Linked DNA regions of Arabidopsis thaliana. The protein of the gene in region 3 interacts with the protein of the main gene of each other region in a pairwise test. Each region holds a gene or a part of one and is shown on either strand. Other genes may lie near its edges. The genes, in order: SCL21, OFP13, ZML2 and ACR6.

Evidence for each region.
Region 1: the proteins of ZML2 (region 3) and SCL21 interact in binary tests that used the Arabidopsis thaliana proteins (3 or more experiments, as listed by UniProt).
Region 2: the proteins of ZML2 (region 3) and OFP13 interact in binary tests that used the Arabidopsis thaliana proteins (3 or more experiments, as listed by UniProt).
Region 4: the proteins of ZML2 (region 3) and ACR6 interact in binary tests that used the Arabidopsis thaliana proteins (3 or more experiments, as listed by UniProt).

Annotation. Positions count from the first base shown.
Region 1 is NC_003071.7:1,719,852-1,724,360, forward strand, and holds SCL21 (SCARECROW-like 21), read right to left. Parts: upstream 2,754-4,509; 5' UTR 2,740-2,753; coding exon of another isoform or gene 2,649-2,739; 5' UTR 2,430-2,648; intron 2,049-2,429; 5' UTR 1,966-2,048; coding exon 724-1,965; 3' UTR 510-723; downstream 1-509. Other genes in the region: ZAP1 (zinc-dependent activator protein-1), read left to right, coding at 1-368; AT2G04900 (uncharacterized protein), read left to right, coding at 2,649-2,739, 2,819-2,889, 2,974-3,054, 3,139-3,182, 3,656-3,755; AT2G04910 (Carbohydrate-binding X8 domain superfamily protein), read right to left, coding at 4,129-4,503. UniProt on the Arabidopsis thaliana protein: Probable transcription factor involved in plant development.
Region 2 is NC_003076.8:1,397,805-1,401,335, reverse strand, and holds OFP13 (ovate family protein 13), read right to left. Parts: upstream 1,942-3,531; 5' UTR 1,652-1,941; coding exon 869-1,651; 3' UTR 552-868; downstream 1-551. UniProt on the Arabidopsis thaliana protein: Transcriptional repressor that regulates multiple aspects of plant growth and development through the regulation of BEL1-LIKE (BLH) and KNOX TALE (KNAT) homeodomain transcription factors.
Region 3 is NC_003070.9:19,130,183-19,136,130, reverse strand, and holds ZML2 (ZIM-LIKE 2), read right to left. Parts: upstream 3,911-5,948; 5' UTR 3,465-3,910; intron 2,977-3,464; 5' UTR 2,956-2,976; coding exon 2,650-2,955; intron 2,477-2,649; coding exon 2,384-2,476; intron 2,295-2,383; coding exon 2,161-2,294; intron 2,053-2,160; coding exon 1,921-2,052; intron 1,332-1,920; coding exon 1,226-1,331; intron 1,113-1,225; coding exon 1,044-1,112; intron 948-1,043; coding exon 879-947; 3' UTR 501-878; downstream 1-500. Other genes in the region: MNS1 (alpha-mannosidase 1), read left to right, coding at 3,999-4,157, 4,492-4,539, 4,620-4,781, 5,041-5,153, 5,274-5,339, 5,480-5,654. UniProt on the Arabidopsis thaliana protein: Transcriptional activator that specifically binds 5'-GATA-3' or 5'-GAT-3' motifs within gene promoters.
Region 4 is NC_003074.8:328,297-333,582, reverse strand, and holds ACR6 (ACT domain repeat 6), read right to left. Parts: upstream 3,485-5,286; coding exon 3,474-3,484; intron 3,447-3,473; exon of another isoform or gene 3,359-3,446; coding exon 3,278-3,358; intron 3,133-3,277; coding exon 3,087-3,132; intron 2,985-3,086; coding exon 2,802-2,984; intron 2,715-2,801; coding exon 2,124-2,714; coding exon of another isoform or gene 2,073-2,123; exon of another isoform or gene 2,059-2,072; coding exon 1,954-2,058; coding exon of another isoform or gene 1,942-1,953; exon of another isoform or gene 1,870-1,941; coding exon of another isoform or gene 1,844-1,869; coding exon 1,517-1,843; 3' UTR 1,461-1,516; coding exon of another isoform or gene 1,430-1,460; 3' UTR 1,072-1,429; coding exon of another isoform or gene 661-1,071; 3' UTR 521-660; downstream 1-520. Other genes in the region: ROXY1 (Thioredoxin superfamily protein), read left to right, coding at 661-1,071; AT3G01980 (NAD(P)-binding Rossmann-fold superfamily protein), read left to right, coding at 4,750-4,841, 4,965-5,286. UniProt on the Arabidopsis thaliana protein: May bind amino acids.

The DNA.
Region 1 (4,509 bases), on a different chromosome or scaffold from region 3:
CTCCAGGAAGAGTTGTTACTCATAATAACATGCTGGACTCGGAAGTTGATGATAAAGAAGGAGATGCCAACAAGACTCCACAGAGCTCAACTCTTCAATCCATTACAAAAGACCAGCATGTCGAAGATCACTTAAGAAAGAAAACGAAGACTAATGGCTTTGAGAAAAGTCTTGATCAAGGTCCAGTTTTGGATGAGAAGCTGAAGGAGGAAATAAAAGAGAGATCAGATGCAAACAAAGATCACGCAGCCAATCACGCCAAGCCGGAAGCAAAGTCAGATGATAAAACCACTGTTTGTCAAGAGAAGGCAGTAGGAACCCTGGAGAGCGAGGAACAAAAACCCAAGACAGAGCCTGCCCAAAGCTAAGCATTCAGTGTTGTACCGAGTGGTAATTTATATGGCTGTTTTAACATAGATTAGTACAGGCGATATGGTTATAGACTGTACAGTTGTTGTTCAGGCGGGACCAGATTTAGATTAGTGTTTAATGGAATAGTATGCTTTAATACCTTTATGTAACCACTTCCATTTGGTTCAAATAAGAGTTACAGGAAGAGAAGGTAACACAACAAGAGCCCTTCTTTGTTGATGGAGCCTGTGTAATAGTTGTAGCATGGGGATGTATATGATTTGATTCAACCTTATTAATGGTTATGAGACAAAACTATCTATTACTTCCAGTTCTGTCTTTTGCATTACATTCTTGGAGACGTTTATTCTTTCACTTCCATGCACAAGATGAGACCAAGATTCGGTCCATCCAACCAAGGTACAGAGCACCATCTCTTTCTTCAATCGCATACCCGTTGCTGTAATCTCTCAAGAGGGCTCTAATGGTGGCTGAAATGATTGAGCTCAAGGGGTATGGCTCAAAACCCGCCATGGAAAACCTTGACTTCCATTTCCCGAGAAGCTCGTGTCTTTCGATCCTCTCGGCTCCTTCACAAGCTATGATGTTGACGACATCCCTTGCCATGCAGTGCTGCTCGATATTGATCCTTTCCTTGTGATTTCTCGGAAGCATAACATCGATAGATTCGAACATTGCCGTGTAATAACTTAATGTCTCAAGGAACCTAGGAAGGAAAGGGGAAGTGTTCGTGTTGCATTCTTGTTCCACAAGAGTGACTACTTTAGGTGATAGACTCTTCACCATCCTCAGCAACCGGTCCCTGTGGTTTTCCATGCTTACACTCTCATCTGGCAAATGATGCAGCATGTAAGCAAAGTTCACTCCAAGGGCTTCGCCATCTCGGACATCAAGATTTTCCACTTCAACTTCACAACTTGGCCTTGAAACCGCATTGAACCTGAATGGAACATCAAACTTCTTTGCAAGTTTCTCTAGTCTCTTCTTGACTGTAACCAAGACAGATCCATCACCAACTCCGGTAATTCGAATATTTGGAGCCCCACCAGGCCTAGCTGCAAAAGCCTGGATAAGTGCTATCCACTGGCTCCCTTGTCCAATTTGGAAGTCAATAATGTGAATCCTCTCTTCATCCTTCATTGCTTCTGCAATCGCACCATTCGCTGACATGTATCCAAACTTGAAATATGGACAAACCTCATGCAGAACATACACATAAGATAAAAATTCATAACTCTCTGGTTCTCTGGACTGGAGAGACTTATATATCGAACTACCAGAAGCAGCAAGCCTAGCAACAAGCCCTTCTAACATATAAGCTCCCAATCTCTGGATTGGCTCACCAGAAATCGAAACCATACCGCGCAACTCACCCATACACCATCGTGCCATTAGAAGATTATTCTCAGAAACAGCTTTTGCACAAGCAACAAGTACCAACTTCAAGTCTCCCCTTGATATTGCCTCCACTATCAATAACAAATCTTTAGCATCATCAGGCCACATGGAGAGTTCATGGCAGATAGCATCATCGATACTCTCAGCTATCTCTGGCAGTGGCTGCAACATTATTGAACCTCTTACATTGTCCATCACAAATAAGCAAGTAAGAATCTTTGAACATCAACCATTATCCTCAAATGACCTTTTATTTATCTGATCTTCATAACAAACACCTGTAGAATTCATAGACAAAGTCATTAATCAGAGACTGAATTAGATATCAATATTGAACAATAATATCCATGGAGATCAAAACTCTAACAAGAACTCTAGTATCATTGAAATCAACTCATGACTCTATGAATCTACGTCAGCCATGAACTACTTCATCAATAAACAAGGCATACAAGAGTTCCAATCCTAAACAAACTAATTTGACAATTTCTCTTCACACTTTAGAGTAAAGCTTGCTAGAAAGAGCAATCATTTACAACAAACCAACATCAAACTTATCAAAGAAGAAATGTTTTCATGTTTTGTGGATAAGAAGAAGCAGAGCATCAAAATCATCAAGAAAAGAGAATAAAGGTTTGATTTTTATGAGAAAAACAAACCTTGTGTAGGTTAAGAAGTGATCTTTCGGTGGAAGTCGATAAGGGATTTGGTTTTGCAAGTGAGAGATCCAACCAAAGCTCGCAGCTGAAGCAAAAGGAAGAATCTTTTTAGTTGCTGTAGTGAAGAAAATAACACATCACATACGACGTCGTTTTAGGCTTAAACCGAATAAGACCCGATCACCGACTTGACACATCTCGCTTAAAGTCTCTGGTCAAATGGGAAATAGTGTAAGAAGCAATCTAAGAGACATCAGAGGACGACGATCGATGGATCCTCGGATGTGGCACAAAGTCGCCGCTATTTCCGGTGAGATTTAAGATAAAGTAATGATCTTTTGATTTTGATCTTGTGAGGAAAGGTACTGATTCGGATAGAATTGGTTTAGGTATGGCTGCTCTTGGTTTGGGAACTTATGGTGCTCATGTCTTTAAACCAGAGAACCCTTCTTACAAACAGGTTTAGATTCTTGAAAATTGTTGGAAAATTCGATACTTTGTTGGATTTCTGTGAGAAAGTTTAGGTTTTTTTGTTGTTGTTCAGGTGTGGCAAACGGCTTCACTTTACCATTTGGTTCACACTGCTGCTCTTGTTTCTGCTCCTAGCACCAAATATCCCAACATTGTTAGCTTTCTCTTCTTGTACTCTGTTTCTCTAATCTTTGTCCTTTGAGAGTTGATGGAGCTGACATATCTTTTTCTTGCTTAGTTTGGTGGCTTGTTGACTGCTGGAATTGTAGCCTTTTCCGGCACGTAAGTTGTTATCTTTTTGTTTCTCAGATTCTTCAGTTTGAGATGTGTATGGTAGAGCTTTTGTGCTAGATGTTTGTTGGATGTCTTGTCATTGAGGTTATAGTAGTGCATTCATGGATATTTGAGCTATTTAGATATGATTTGGACTTTCTAGAATTCATATCTAATCTCTAGCAGTAGCAATACTTGCCACAATTCTTCGTGGCTAGGGAGATTTTATCGATTTCGACATGTGTCCAACTCTGAAGCATTTGGAAACCATTGTATCACTTATTTAATAGCATAGGTCTTTGTATTTGAGTTAATGAATGGTATTTGTCCCCTTTGTACTTCCTTTGATATGTGAAGGTATGCTCTTTGGAGAAGTAACTATATTTTAGATGCTTAGTAGATAACTTTAGTTTTGTGTTCAATAGTCTATTTCCGGGTATGAGTATGTGAGAAGTTTCATGTGTGTTGAAATGTTGTTGCAGGTGTTATATGGTAGCGCTGCGGGAGGACAGAAAGTTTTCGACATTGGCACCATTCGGAGGCTTTGCGTTCATTGCTGCATGGGCAACTTTACTTTTCTAAACAATCTCATAACCATCTATATTGTCAAGTTTGTGGTCAAGCTTATCCTACATATGAACTCACTGTTTTTTTTTGTTTACCTAAGAGATTGCTTAATAACAATTCTGTGTCGACAACCATTAAGCATCTTCCTTTACTTGTTCAGTTTGTTGCTAAAGGGATTATGTAAATGACGACCATATTAATGTAATCTTATTACCATACAATTTATCAAAATTCTACATTACAAGAACTTCCAAGTTCCAACAAAGATTTGTTTATATTGTTCACCGGTAGTATAATTCATCATCTTTCATTTCATCTTGGTCTTTCCTTTGAATCATTGGACATACTCAAAATGGCACATACTCAAAATGGCACGAATCGTGACCTATCAAATCATGAGATAATCAGAAACAGATGGTTCAAGATTTTGATTGATCAAAGAGCTTAAATAACTGTAACAAAAAGGGTTTAGATAAAGTTGCTTACTAGGGTCGGTTTGTGTGATAAATGCAGTGCTGTTGAAGTTACAGGAACCGCCGTTGCGCTTATAACGCTGGTAATAGTTATTGAAGACAACAGAGGCATGGTCCTTGACAGTGTTGGGCAAGAAGCAAGGCTGGTTAGGCTGAATCGTACTGCAGTCTGCTCCACCTGTTTGACAAGCCCAGTCTACGGCTGCTTGTATCACATTATCTGGTATCTGTCCATCGGCTACACACCATTGTCCGAACTCCGCTTTCGCTACAAAAATAAGATACCCCATGTTATA
Region 2 (3,531 bases), on a different chromosome or scaffold from region 3:
AACGTTACTATAGACCAACATTCTCTTTTAATGCACCCTCGTAAATACACTATCCTTTTCTGTATTTTTAAAACTTGAATCTCATAAGTTCATGACAATTACATTTATACATACACTACGGGTGTTTCTATTACGCTTATTTTCAAGATTTTAACTCCAGCATGGATATCACAAAAAGGGTTTTGCTAAATATCTTACGTGATGATGCTTTTAAGAGTCAAATCAATAAATAAAATCTCTATGTTATTAATGTTAATACATGAATTATCCGAGCATGATATTTAATGAGTCTTACAGTTTATGTTAGTGTAGTAGTCCTTGTGTAACCATCGAAAATTCGTAATACCAAATTTTATTTGGGGAAAAAAAATGTAAGGTCCAATATTTGTGACAAAAAAATTTTTAATATGGATGCCAAAGGAGCTACATGCCTACATCTAATGAGAAAGGCTATATAATATGCCTGCAAAAAAAATGAGAAATTATAATTCTATGTCCTTTAAAACCTAAAAAAGAAGTAAAAAATAAAGAGCTTAAATAAAAAGAAGTATCACAGAATTTATTCTTATGTATATTTCCTTTTAAAATGGGGCTGTTATACAAAATTTCTCTGAATCTGTTGGCATAAACTTCGCTGAGTTTCATGAATTTTGGGGGAAAAATAGTGTAACTTTCGAGTTATGACAAAAGGCACTGTTATACACATAAATCAACAATAATGGCTCTAAAAATATTTTTGATATATATTTAATGGTTCTTTTTCCTCTAACCACTAATTACTTTTTACAAAATCCAAAAAGGGTTAATTAATCTAAACAAAACCGGAGATTAAAAAATTTAAAACCGAATCTTAAGCCTTTTTTTATTTTTAACAGCTCCGTCTCTCTTCCTCTTGAATCTCCGTCTGACCTTGAGATAACGAATAAACCGGCGACGACGGCAAAGACGAAACGGCGGTTGAATAACGAGCCGAATCCGATACCGAAGCCGACGTTATTCCGGCGCCGGAATCAGAGAGTCCAGAGAGAAGATCAACAAAAGCACTGACGATAACGCCGTGACTCTTCCTCCCATTCATCCTCAAATACCAAGCGAGCATCGATTCCAAGCTCTCCCAATCTTTAGCCAACTCACCGTGACTCGTCACCATCTCCTCCATCGATCGCCGGAAATCACCGTACGGATCCTCGGATTCCATCGCCACCGCGACACTAATCTCCTCAATCGGCGTACTCCGATCTTCTCCCACCGCAACCGTTTCCTTCGATTTCAAATCCGATTTCGATTTCTCTTCAATCTCTTCCAGAATCGAACTCGTAACTCCTGGATCGAAGAATAACCGCTCCGATCTAACAACGCCACGAACCACCATCTCTAAGGACTCAGCGTCAAGGTCTTGATCCGACTCGGTTGAGTGACTCGCTGTCTCGGACGAGTTAGTAAACCATGACTCAGGCGTCTCCGCTTCCAACAAATCTCCTCCATTGTTGTTGTTGTGGTGGTGGTCGAAGAAAACAGAGTTCACCGTCTTGATCATGTCGTCGCCGACTCGGAACGAAAGAGTTTTGGCATTGTAACAGAGAGGAACCGCTAGTAATCCTCCGGCTCCGCCTTTGAACAGAGAAGAGAGTTTCATCTTCTTCTTCCCCATTGATACCACCAATTGTTTTTTTCTTTGTGAAGATCTTTGGTTGGGTTTGGGTTTAGTAATTAATGGAAGAGGAAGGAGTTGGAGGGAATGCGATATATGGGGAGAGAAGAGAGAGCTGGTGGGGTCAGGTCATGTGTCTATTTAATTTTGGGATATTTTTCTATTTGTTGTTAATTTTCCATTTTTTTCTGGTTAGTTATTTGAAGTGCTTTTACTTATTTAGTCTAAAGTCTTAACTATAAAAATTACGATGATTGAAGTTGATAGTTTGTTTTTGTTTTGCTTTGTGGTTAGCTTTTTCGATTCGTTTTCTGTTCAACCGGGATTTCAATAGTTTTTTCCAATATTTGATTTGCTACAATCCAAATTTTTAATATTGGTTTTTTCTACACTATTCGATCTAATAATTGATCAATTTTACAAAAATGTTTTTATAATGGAGATATATTATTTTTACAAATAGTTTATTGCTACATTTTACAATAATGTTTTTGTCGTTGTGATTTTATTGATATACACATGAGTGGAAGAATTATGTTTTTTACAAATATTTTGCTGTTTTGAAAAATTGACAATCTTCTTGTGTGACGAAAACACTTATCCTCATGCAGTTTACATATTATTAGCTCCATGGGTTGTTATTGCCTTGTTGGAGAGGTTGAATTTGTATTTTTTAACTAACAAAAGTTTCATGCAAACACGATATAATGGCTCTATGGGAATTTGAATTTTTATTTTGTCTTTGTTATCTAAATTTAAGATGATAATATTATACTCATGAACAAGTATAGTAAGACACAGCAGTAGCATTCAATTTGGTTGAAGACAAGAAAAATTAAATATTTTAATTAAAATAAAATAAAATAATACTAGAAAAAATGTTAGTCCCGAGCCAATGACAAAGCACTGTGCAGAACACAAAGCATTAAAAACGATTGCTTACAAGAAAATGTTGCAGAAAAACAAATCCCAATAAACATTTAGTAATTTTATATACTACTACTACTTTATAAAGGTTGATTGACGGTACTACATTCTTGTCTATTGGCTCGTCTTGTCAAATCTTCTTCTCATTTTTAATTACTCTCTCTTTACGACTTTAATAGTGTTTTACATCTTAATTAATTTGTTTAATTTTTTTAAAACTGATGTATAAGCTATTTTGTATTATATAATCCATAAACGAACACGTAAAAATCGTACTGATGCAGTCAGTTTTGACTTTCCTATAAGCACTGTGAGCTTCTAATACTCTCGGTCAACGTGTTATCTATAAATTACGTATGTGTAAATTATATGAAGCTTTGAGCTTAAAGAATGTTTCTTCTTGGTCGCAATACAAATTTCTAAAAGTAAGAATTGTAATTCAACTGAATAATTAAACTCGATGAACATCAGTTTCTTGAATATATATTTAAAAATAATTTATTTCGTTTAATTTTTTTTGAGGAATTGAAGTCTTATATTCGAAGAAGGACTATGTTATATGTATGTTTTTAATTAATGATGAATTTCTTGGACGATTTTCTTTACTAAGGTAAAATATATGATCCATCAAGGTAGAACAAGAATGTAGGGGATAGATCCTGAGACAGTGTCCTTTAGGAATCAGTCAATATTATAGAGTTTATCAGAGATATAAAACTGAAAGTAGTAAAAGATTTAAACAGAAGCAATCTGATGTTGAAACCCATTGTTGTGAAATAAATGCATCATTATTTTCGTACATTTTCAACTTTATTTACCCAACACCTCCATATCTTTCTCTTTTGCAAAAATTTCCTGTTTTGCCTTAATTTGCGTAAGATATTGGATCAACGTTTGTGGGATAAATATGGGAACATAGAATAAGAAAAAGAGAGAGAAAGATTGTGTGCAAA
Region 3 (5,948 bases):
ATTTATTTCCAAAGCTTAGCTCTCATAAATTAACTAATAACATTGTAATGTAGTTTATCAGAAAAATTGAAATGTAATGACTGGTATGCTAAAAAGTCAATATAAATATTATTAAAAAATGAAACTATGAGAAGATTTTCAGATTTTCATGATAAGATGAGACAATTCACTAGAAGAGAAAATGCAAGAAATAAGATTTTGTCTATTAAGCTAAAATAAAAACAAAAATGGAATCTAAAATATCTCTCACAAATTGGGATATTTTAAAGTCTCTTTTTTTTTTTTTTTTTTTTTTGATCTAAGGGATATTTGAAAGTCTTTTAGGCAAAATTCTGTGTAAAAATCTTTGCCACTGAAAACAAAGGAGCAGTCACATTCGCACTGAACCATTTTAGTTTGTCTCCTTGTTTTGGCAAGTTCCTTTGGCAAGTTCCTTTGGCTAATAATATCACAATTCACAAGCCTCTTTTTGTTTCTTGACTTAGAGAAGCATGAGGCATTGAACATGGTTCACTTTACATGAGGCTACTAAGTCTCCAAAACAACCCTGTGGTCATAAGGAGACTACTCTTTTGGTGAGTTCTTAAATAAAGTTAGTTTGTCTTTAAAATAGGGTAAAACACAGACTGCAACTAGACGTTACATCAGAGTATGGACCAATGCAACAACAGTCTATAAAGCATTTTTGAATCATAAAAAAAGAAGAAGCAAAACATTGCAGATCATTATCACTCAGATTACATTGTCATAGATCAAATCCTGATAACCTAAATCGAGTCAGATTCTTTCAAAGGGAATGATAAAGCTACAGAACCTGAGGCGATTCAAACTCTGTTGGGATCTTTCTCTTGCTTGTAATGGCAAGAGCCAACATGTCCTCACTGTGAGTTGCTTATGTCATTGGCCACTGTTATCATTATTTGATGATCAGTCTCAAGATTTGCATCCTGCAAAGATAGATCAGACATGCACAAGTTATGATAAAGACGAATGGATTCCTTTTCGTACAACAAATTGTTTGGTCAAAACATGATGTTGCTTACTTCATTCTTATTTAAAGGAAGATTCTGGGCTGTTTGAGGAGAGGCTTTGGATAAGTCCCTAAAAGCACCCTGAAAGTATAAATGTCGTCCTCATTTAGACAGACTAATCATCGAATCACTAGTGCTACAAAATGAGCAAGATAAAGAGAGTTGATCAAATTAAGAAGCAAGTATTGTCTTGCCTTGTTTGCCCACATAAGTCCACATGCATTGCAAAGTGTTCTTGGCCCGGCAGGTCCACGTCGCATCATTGGAGTTGACTTCTCGCCAATTCCACAGTGCCGACATCTTACAGGTATCAAGCCATTCAGAGGAAGTAAAATCAGATATGTTCTTACCAACTAAAGTAAGGCTATCAAGAAGAAAAACTCAAATCTACAAAGACTTAAACGACAATTGTCTATTCCAAAGTTATTATAAAAATTCTCAGTTCCAGGATACAATATTAGTCATCACAACCTGTCTTAACCAATCATCTATCACAGAAGTCATTTTGCTTCAGGCATGGAAGAGCTTTTATATAATATTTTGTCTGTATTGGTCCTTCAATGTTACCAATTCGTATAGGTCCATGCTCATGTTAAATATTACATATGCAATGTGTATGTCTTGATATTGAATCATTGATAGGTTTCAGAGTTCTAGTACCTCTACAACGTTTCTGAAACCAAAAACAACATCTAAGATGCTTAATAAACCTATCATCTCTACATTAGGATGGTTCAGTTTAATAACTAAGTCAGATGCTACATTAGGTTGGAAGCAAAAACAACTTCTAAAGTTGCTTAGCAAACCCATAATAACTACGTTAAGTTGGTTCAAGTTAAAAAGTATGTCAGGAACTCGCAGTTTACTTTCAAAGCATTTCTAAACTTACGAGATCTCTTGATGCTGAGCCTCACTACTTTCTATGGCCCAGGTTTGATTCGACCCCCAGCTAGATCCAGCAGATGCAGCTTCATCATTGTTTGACTTGGCAGATGTGAACTGACCTTTATTGCGTTGCATCCTGTATACCAGAAAACAAAAAGTAATCAAGATGCGAACCTTAATTTTGGGAGAGCAACCATAAAAGAAGTATAACTAGACCAAGTTGTTGATTTAGACATCAATGTACCTCAAAGCTACCTCCTTGCGGACTGTATACCGAATCTTCTTATCAAAATTCCTTCCTTTCCGTTTCTCTCGAAATCTGACCAAAGAAGCTAATCGCTGCGGAATACTAAACCTTTGAGGAGTACCAGGTAAACTCTGTTTCATTGATTAGTCAGTCAGTCAGTCAAGCAATGTATCAAGGAAGGGAACTTATGTCCCATAAATGCCATCATATATTTTATTACCGATACTCTGTTGTTCTGATGAGGTGATCCTAGGCCAGGAGGGGCTGCCTGAGGTAATTCACGACCACCCAATAATAGAAGCACAGCTTGAACCTGCAACAGGCGTCGAATAGCAAGAGGCACTCACACATTAGAATCAATAGATGGAAAAAACTCAAAGCTAACTAGATCCTTCAACCACTTGCTAAAATGTGGCTTGGAGTAAGAATATAAATTCTAATGGAATGAGACAATCAACGAACCAACTCAGTAACAACTTAACTCACCTTCTCAGGCAAGACACTGTCAAAAACGTAGACTTGGCCCTGAAAAGACAATGTTAACTGATCTCCTTGTTCACTACCACGGTCGACCACTTCACCACGATTGTCAGTTACATTTCCAGGGTGAGAAGGAATGTCTGTTTCCACACCCTCACTCATCCCACCAGCATTGCCATCATCAGCCTGGTCATCAACCATACCGCTTCCATTGTGGATGTGATGCAAAGCATGATGTTCAAATTGCACATGCATTGGATCTTGAGCTTCTCTAATGTGCATTCGAGCATTGCTTCCATGTAGGTCATCCATGGTTGCTTTTCATCAATCTACCTAATGATAACAGTGAAAGTAAAACAAATTAACATTAAAACTGGAAACTTCAAACAAAAACACCTAATCTTCATAAGCACGATTCATGGATGACCAGACAAATCAAATCAGCTCTAAGCAAAACATGATTCACATACTATATAACCTTACTTCCTCGGTCATTGGAGCAACTTACATATAAGTTCTAACTAACACTATACATAAATTCAGGAAACCTTATGGATCAATGCTTGTTTTCAAGAGATTAACACAGACTTCTAACATATTTGCATCAATCAGATTCAATCCAAAGTTTCAATATTTCCACGCTCTAAGCCTTACATAAACCATATTATACCAATTCCACAAACTCACTTATAATTTCAACAAACAAAATAAACCCTAAGAAACAAAAGCAAATCCTGAAACAAAGCGACATCCAAAACCATTGAAATATAGGTTCCTCATTACGACACACGAAACCAATATAAGAGTTAAGATGATGTTACCTGTTCGTGGGGAGCAACACCAAAAAGAGAAGAATGAAAGATGTTCGAAAGACCCAAACGAGAAACACCAAATAACACGACGGAAACGATGAAGATGACAATTGAACCGATGGATAACGCCACAAATAGAAGAACAGAGACAAACCAAACCCACCAGAACACCAACGAGACGAAAATGGAAACCAGATAGAAAGAGAAATCGAAGAAAGAGACGAACCAGTGGGGGCTAAAGAGACTCGATTGATTATTTTATCATCAAAAGAATAAATAAGCAAAAGTGCCGGAGATATAAATAAATACTTTTCTTTTGGTTTTTGGGTAAAGTTTCGTTTTTTAATTCTTTCTTCGTCTTCCTCCTTCTAACTACTAAAATCGGATCTATAACTTTTGTTCTTTGAGAGACTTATTTCTCTCTCGGTTTCTTACTCTTTTCGGATCAGAAATTTAAAAGCTTTTAACTTTTGTCTTGCTCTGTTTCATGGACACTGATTTCTCAATTGGTCTCTGTTTTTGTTGAGTGGGTTGAGAAGAGAGATGGCGAGAAGTAGATCGATTAGTGGTTATGGGATATGGAAATATTTGAATCCTGCGTATTATCTTAGAAGACCGAGACGTTTGGCTTTGCTTTTCATTGTCTTCGTCTCTGTTTCTATGCTTGTCTGGGATCGTATTAATCTTGCCCGAGAACATGAGGTATGTTTTGTCTAATGAAATCTGGTTAGACTCTGCCTAGGAGTAGGAGATAGTTCTTGTATCATAGCTTATTGGTAGGCCAATTCGAATTTTGGTGAAGTAGGTTATATGGTTTAGGCCTGGAATGGTTTGATTGCCTTCATAGCTCAAGGTCTATAAGTAAGACAGTTGGTGTTTTATTTACTAGAAAAGAGCTGTAATTAATATCTTCTGGACTCAATTCATGTATTCGTTTATAAGAAGCTATGTAACCAAAATAAGAAAAATGTCAAGGAAGTGAACAATTTCTCTTGTGATCATTCTCTCACTTGTCCTGCTTTTTTTTGTCTTGCAGGTTGAAGTTTTTAAGCTAAATGAAGAAGTTTCACGGTTGGAGCAGATGGTAAGATTAATATTTTCCCCTCACTCTAGGCTCAGATAGTCTTTCTAATGTTTTAGCTAACTAACTATATTTTCCGCTAGTTAGAAGAGCTTAATGGTGGTGTTGGCAATAAGCCTTTGAAGACTCTGAAGGATGCCCCAGAAGATCCAGTTGATAAACAGCGAAGGCAGAAAGTAAAAGAGGCAATGATCCATGCTTGGAGCTCTTATGAAAAGTATGCATGGGGGAAAGATGAGCTTCAGGTATACAATTATTTTCCAAAATACATTTCACCCTTGTGAATACGAAATCTAGTTTACGACGGACTCTATGAATCAAATTTTATTTTGACGTTTAGTGCCTGCTCTTCCAGTATCCTGTTGAGCCTTTTATTATGAGCTTATCTGAAGTTACCAGGCCTACAAAGATTTTGTTAAGAACTAAGATTATTTTCTTCCTGAACTCTGCAAAAAAAATATTGGTCTGAAGCTATTCTTGTTTCTTTCCTTTTTTTATTGTCAGCCTCGGACAAAAGATGGCACTGATAGCTTTGGTGGCCTTGGAGCAACTATGGTAGATTCTTTAGATACACTCTATATAATGGGTCTAGATGAGCAGTTTCAAAAAGCCAGAGAGTGAGTAATTGCAGGCTCTTCATTTATTCATATGTAACTGTTTTCGTCCCAGTTGCAAATCCAACTTTTTACTTCTTCATCTTTGCTAATCTTCATTTGCTTATTGTCTTTTATTTGCAGGTGGGTTGCAAGCTCATTGGATTTCGACAAGGATTATGACGCCAGTATGTTTGAGACAACCATAAGGTGGCTTTAACAGGTTTACTGTGGTTGTTTTCTGTAATTATCGTAGGAAGAGTCAGTTTATTTGCGATTATCAGTTGGTGACATAAGATGGGGAACGGATATTGCATCTGCTTATATTCTTTTTCTTTATCTGCCTTCAGAGTTGTAGGCGGACTTCTTAGTGCGTATGATCTTTCTGGGGACAAAATGTTCCTTGAAAAGGCTAAGGATATTGCAGACAGATTATTGCCTGCATGGAATACTCCAACGGGTATACCTTACAATATTATCAACTTGAGAAATGGAAATGCTCACAATCCTTCATGGGCGGCAGGGGTGAGTCCTAGATTACTGAGTGCCGTGTATGTTGTATTGTGTCATCTTGTGTCATGTAGATCTTTTTAAAGCCTAACCTTGGAATCCAATGATTGGATACAAATCTTTATTCGTTTCTAGAAAAAATGGCTCCTGAAACTCTGTGCACTTGTTCTGTAGTTGACTTAGGTTCCTGATTATGTTTCTAAAGGACTCCTTAGAGTCTATTTGATAGCTTAAATCCAAGTTCTGACCACTTTCTTAGATGATTCAACCCCGTATAAAAACTAAGATCTGGACTCGGCAGAAACAGCC
Region 4 (5,286 bases), on a different chromosome or scaffold from region 3:
GATTACTCGGTCGTATGGAATTATATATTTTACAGAGTAGAATGGAATAAAAGAAAAACCCTGCCAAAATCCATATTGTACAGATTGAGGGAGCTTATCTACGTGGAAATTATGGTTTCTTACTTTATGATCATGTATCTGAAAATACAAAGAAAGAAAAAGAGAGAATTAAGTGGTAAGAAAATTAATGGTGAGAGCGGTAAGAGCCGACAAGAAGGACAGACGGAGCCGTCTATTACCAACAACTCCCTTCTGATAAAAGCCTGTTCTTCAACTCTCCTTGCCTTTTTTTTTTTTTTTACAAAAAAATGAAATTATTCCGATAACTATTATCGGTGTTTGTTTTCAACAGCAATCACTATCTTGATGTCATCGGTTTTAATTCATATGTTTTGTTACTTTTTTTCTTTTTTTCATGGAGAAGTAAATAGAGGTCATGTTATTATACACAAATAATAAAGAAAGAAACAATAATACTAATAATTAGAGGAAAACAGAGTTAGACTCAGAGGTGTAGTAGGCCTCTATAAATACTCTGCATGGCTCTCACTCTCTTCTCACCAACAAACTTTAGCCAATCCCTCTTTCTCTCTTATTCGTGTTTAATCTAGTTTCTTTCCAAACAAAAGTGTAACAAGAGAAAGAGAAGAGATATCAAAGATGCAATACCAGACAGAATCGTGGGGATCATACAAGATGAGCAGCTTAGGATTCGGCGGTTTGGGGATGGTGGCTGACACTGGTCTGCTTCGTATAGAGTCCCTGGCTTCTGAGAGCGCGGTGGTGATCTTCAGCGTGAGCACGTGCTGCATGTGCCACGCCGTGAAGGGTCTCTTCAGAGGAATGGGCGTCAGCCCCGCCGTCCACGAGCTCGACCTCCACCCCTACGGCGGCGACATCCAGCGAGCCCTCATTCGTCTCCTCGGCTGCTCCGGCTCCTCTTCTCCAGGGTCTCTCCCGGTCGTCTTCATCGGCGGTAAACTGGTTGGAGCTATGGACAGAGTCATGGCTTCTCACATAAACGGCTCTCTCGTTCCTCTTCTCAAAGACGCCGGCGCTCTCTGGCTCTGATCCCTTCCTCTGCTTTCTTTTTTCTTTTCTATTTGAAGTTTTCTTGTAAGAGAATGTGGTGGAGGAAGATTAGGAAACTAGTCAATGGCTGTAATGACAGGTTTTAGATTATAGTTTGTAATTAGAGAGAGAGTTGTTTTAAGCTCACCTTTCTCTGTCTTCCTCTTCTTCATCTCTTATTGATCTTTCGAATGCTCTCATTAAATCATAATAGTAAACACTTTGCATCTTTATTAATGTCCCCTGGATCCATTAATCAACGGTATTAACTGACGCCGTATCTATTCAAAGGCAGTTCCTGTTATTTTGTTCACACAAATTTACACACAAGGGACTTGTTGAGAGGGGATCGCTACGATCAGCTTAAATGATGCCCTACTCTGTCTAACCTATACAAAGCACACACACACTCTATGACTATGAGTGAGATAGGTGAAGCTTGAAGCTACTTGGGTTTGAAGATGTTACTTAGCAAATACCCCATTGTAGTTGTTTCGTGCGAAGGCCTGCTTGTACCAAGAACAGAGCAATGCTCCTTCTCCTTCTTCTTCACCTTCAGCTTGCTTACTCCTATCTGTTGTCTGATTGACTCCACGATTTTTGATTCAACCGGGTTTCCAGTCACGTCTGTAACGTAGAACGTGTCTTTAGCCTTACCCTCTCGCGTTGATATCTCTGCTCTCACAATGGTTAAGCTGTTCTCTCGGAATGTTCTGGTTATGTCTGAGAGAAGACCAACTCGGTCTTCTGCTGATAATTCCAGCTCTAAACCCTGAAAGTATGTTTCATATGCACAATCTGTCTTGAGTATATCAGAAATCGATGCAGAACAGAATGTAATTTGAGCCAAGACAGAGAATTTTCACATTCCTAATTGGTTACCTCCGATGCTCTCCTCTCAATGGCTGCTTCCAGACATTGTATGACACGTTCTTGCTCTGCTTCTGAGTTTATGGGAAGTCCATCCACATGACGGATGTAAAATTCCTGCAGCAAAACACTCATATTATTGTTAGAAGAGAGATCCCAACAGACGGCCGTTGAGTAGTTACCTGATAAGCCTCCACTGGTTCTGTGCTGACCATGCCATGGAACACCACATACTGCATATCAGTCAAAGTACAGACTACGTCAAACACAAGCTTTGGTCTATCTTTGGACCTCATGGTAACAACGGTATAATCCTTCTCAATGTTCATTAGTGTGACACTGGGCCTTGACGCCGATGTCCTTGCTCTTTTGACTCCCTCGTAGTCCCTATCATCAAACATGATCTGATGCAACCGTCTCTCCCTGTGTGTATCAGAACAAGAGAAGACTGTTTTCGCAGCTCTTGAGCCGCTGTTTGTCCTCACTACATTGCACAGCAGCTCCTTGATGGTGGAAAGGCGAATCGGGTCAGTAATGGCAGAATGAGTTGAATTGTCCGTGACATGAATAACCGCTGCAGCTCTGGTGTTGTGAGTCCATATCTCAGCGTTCACAACGTTGCAGTGAAGGTCTGTGAGAACAGCAGATACTTCAGACAAGAGACCGGGTCTGTCAGTTCCAGCGAGCTCAATGGATGTGTATTCGTCAGTGGGCATTACACCAACTGAGCTTCTCAAAGGTGGAATGAACCACCCAGCGTTGCTCTCTATCCTCTGCGCAATGAATTCAACAAACGTTTTACACAAAGAAAAAAACCTGTTGAAAATGAAAGAAAAAAAGTGATGAAATACATTAGAAACCTTTTGGATATAGTCAAGGACTTGAGTGTCTCTGATCTTATTGCCATCTTGGTCGATGACTTTGAAAACGTCCATGAACCAACCTCCATCGGAAGAGATGTAAGCTTTCTTGATCACAAGATTCATATCAGTGAGCACTTGTACTACTTCCAATAGAGTCCCATGTTTGTTCACACTATCAACCTTTTATTTAGCACCACAAACAAACAGGGAACTCTGTTTTCTCAAAATCTCTTTGTTTGGTACAGAACCACTTGAACAATTTGAAGAGACAGATTTATTTACCTGAATAACAGTGGCATCGTCGCTTGCGTTGTTGTCTATTACAACTCTGTATCCACCATGAAACATACATAAATAAAGATGAATGTTTTAGCAGCTGGAATCTTTACAAGGGTATAGAGGCTCACAAACGGAGCATGGAGAAACAGAGGACCTAGAAAACAATAAAAGAGTATGGAGAGAAAGAGAAAAACCTGGGAGGATTCATTCTCCTGATGAGCTTGGCATATTCATCATCATCCATGGTTGTAGTATGTATCTCCTTGGTGATTTGGCTGCAGCAGAAACCCAGAAGAGTGTGAGTCCTCCAATTTCTGAGGAAAATTCCTAAAAGAGAGAGGGAGAGGGAAGTTGAAGGAGGATAAAAATGGTAGGCCACCGGAACCGAACCTTGTTTTCATTAGTTGATCGAGCACGTGCCACTAAAGATTCTTAGAGATGACGTGGCACGGGCACAGCAACTTTTAGATTCTGTTATAATTGTTCGAATACTACCAAAAGTCGGGTGAAGATTTGGGGTCAATTTGATGATCATAAAGGGGATTATATTCTCCTTCTCAAGCAAGATGTGGTATTTACTAGTATAATAGATCATTCGTTATCTTGAGGTAGACCTCTCCGTAACGTTCACAGGTGCATGACCAAGTAACAATTTGATTCCTTTCCAGCATAACGTCATGTTGGTTGCAAAAAGAAGGCAAAGTAGAGCAAGCAAGCAAGCAAAGCATTTTTCTTATTTTATATTTTGTTGCGGATTCCACCACCCACTTGAAAAATTGACATGTCACAATGATTTCGTATCCTAGTCTTTTATTATTTAACACTCTCACAATCCCATTACTCTACACCTCTTTCATTAAGTCAACACACGGTTTTCAAAAATCCACTACCCTCCCACCACCTAGAATCTTTTGTTACCTACCAACACCCTCCTTTGTTCTCTTTATATATTGGTCCAACTAAATCAATAAGGGAAAGCATCCTTTTGGTTGGAGGAATTGCTTTCATTCTCACTCTTTGTGTGTTGATCAATGGACTAGCTAATAACAAGTTCCTCCTCTATATATTTCAAAAGAATGGAACAGAAACATAAACGAAAGACAGAGTACCTGATGTTGATGATTCATTGTCTGTCTGGAGCTCCCAAATGCCTTTTATGCTTACATATTCATAACCAACAACGGCTATTAATTATAAACCAAAAACACGAAATAAGTTTGTAGCAAAGTGAAATTAGGAATCTTGGAGATGGATCCATTAGTAGTAGGATAATAGGATATGATGGAATTTGGTTGGGGAACAGTGATAACTTACGCTTGCTTCCGGCGCCGGGAAAGTTGGAAAACCTACAAAGTACAGAAATGGATCTGGGCCTTGAAGTGGGCTTTTTATTAAAGAAAAAAATACATCTCCGTTATCAATCACCATCTTCTTCTATCTACAAATTAAAGAAGGTAACAACAGAACGTGGTGGATCATGTGGTTAGGCATTAATTATTTGCTTTGTTTCGCCGTTTTGGTAACACACAGACACAGTTCCGGTAAGAGCTTTTGCAGCCACTCTTTATAGTTATTTAGAATTGGCGATCGAATCAATCTCACTCCCTCCCTCCCTTAAGTCTTGTTGAATCTGCTGAATTGTTTTATAAAGAGTTACTTTGGCAAAATGGAAAATCCGGCGAAGAGAGTGTTGATGACATCCAACGGCGACGAGGTGTCCCGAAACATCGCTTTCCATCTAGCCAAACACGGTTGCAAGTGAGTCTCTCATTTTGTCTTCTTTCCTCCTATCCTGTGTTTCTTCTTCTAGCCCCGATTTGTGTTGTGGTTGACTTTGGTGTCTATAGTTAACCTTCAAAAAATGCAATGTACTGTTGCTAGGTTGGTAATGATGGGAAATGAGGGTTCCCTAAGGAGCATTGTAGACAAGATTAGAGATTCCATTGAGGGAGCCTTCCCTGCCGATGTTATAGCACTCGACATGGAATCTGACTCTGAAGTTGCTTTTCATGCCGCTGTCCAAAAGGCATGGGAACTTTCCGGCCATTTCGATGCTTTTCTCAACTCTTATACCTACCAAGGTTTAATTTGCTTCTTGTTTTTCACTACCCTGCCTTTGATGCTCTTGTGTGTTGATCATTCCTTTATTCAACAATCTTTCTTTCTTGCAGGAAAGGTGCAGGACATTCTTCAAGTCTCTCAA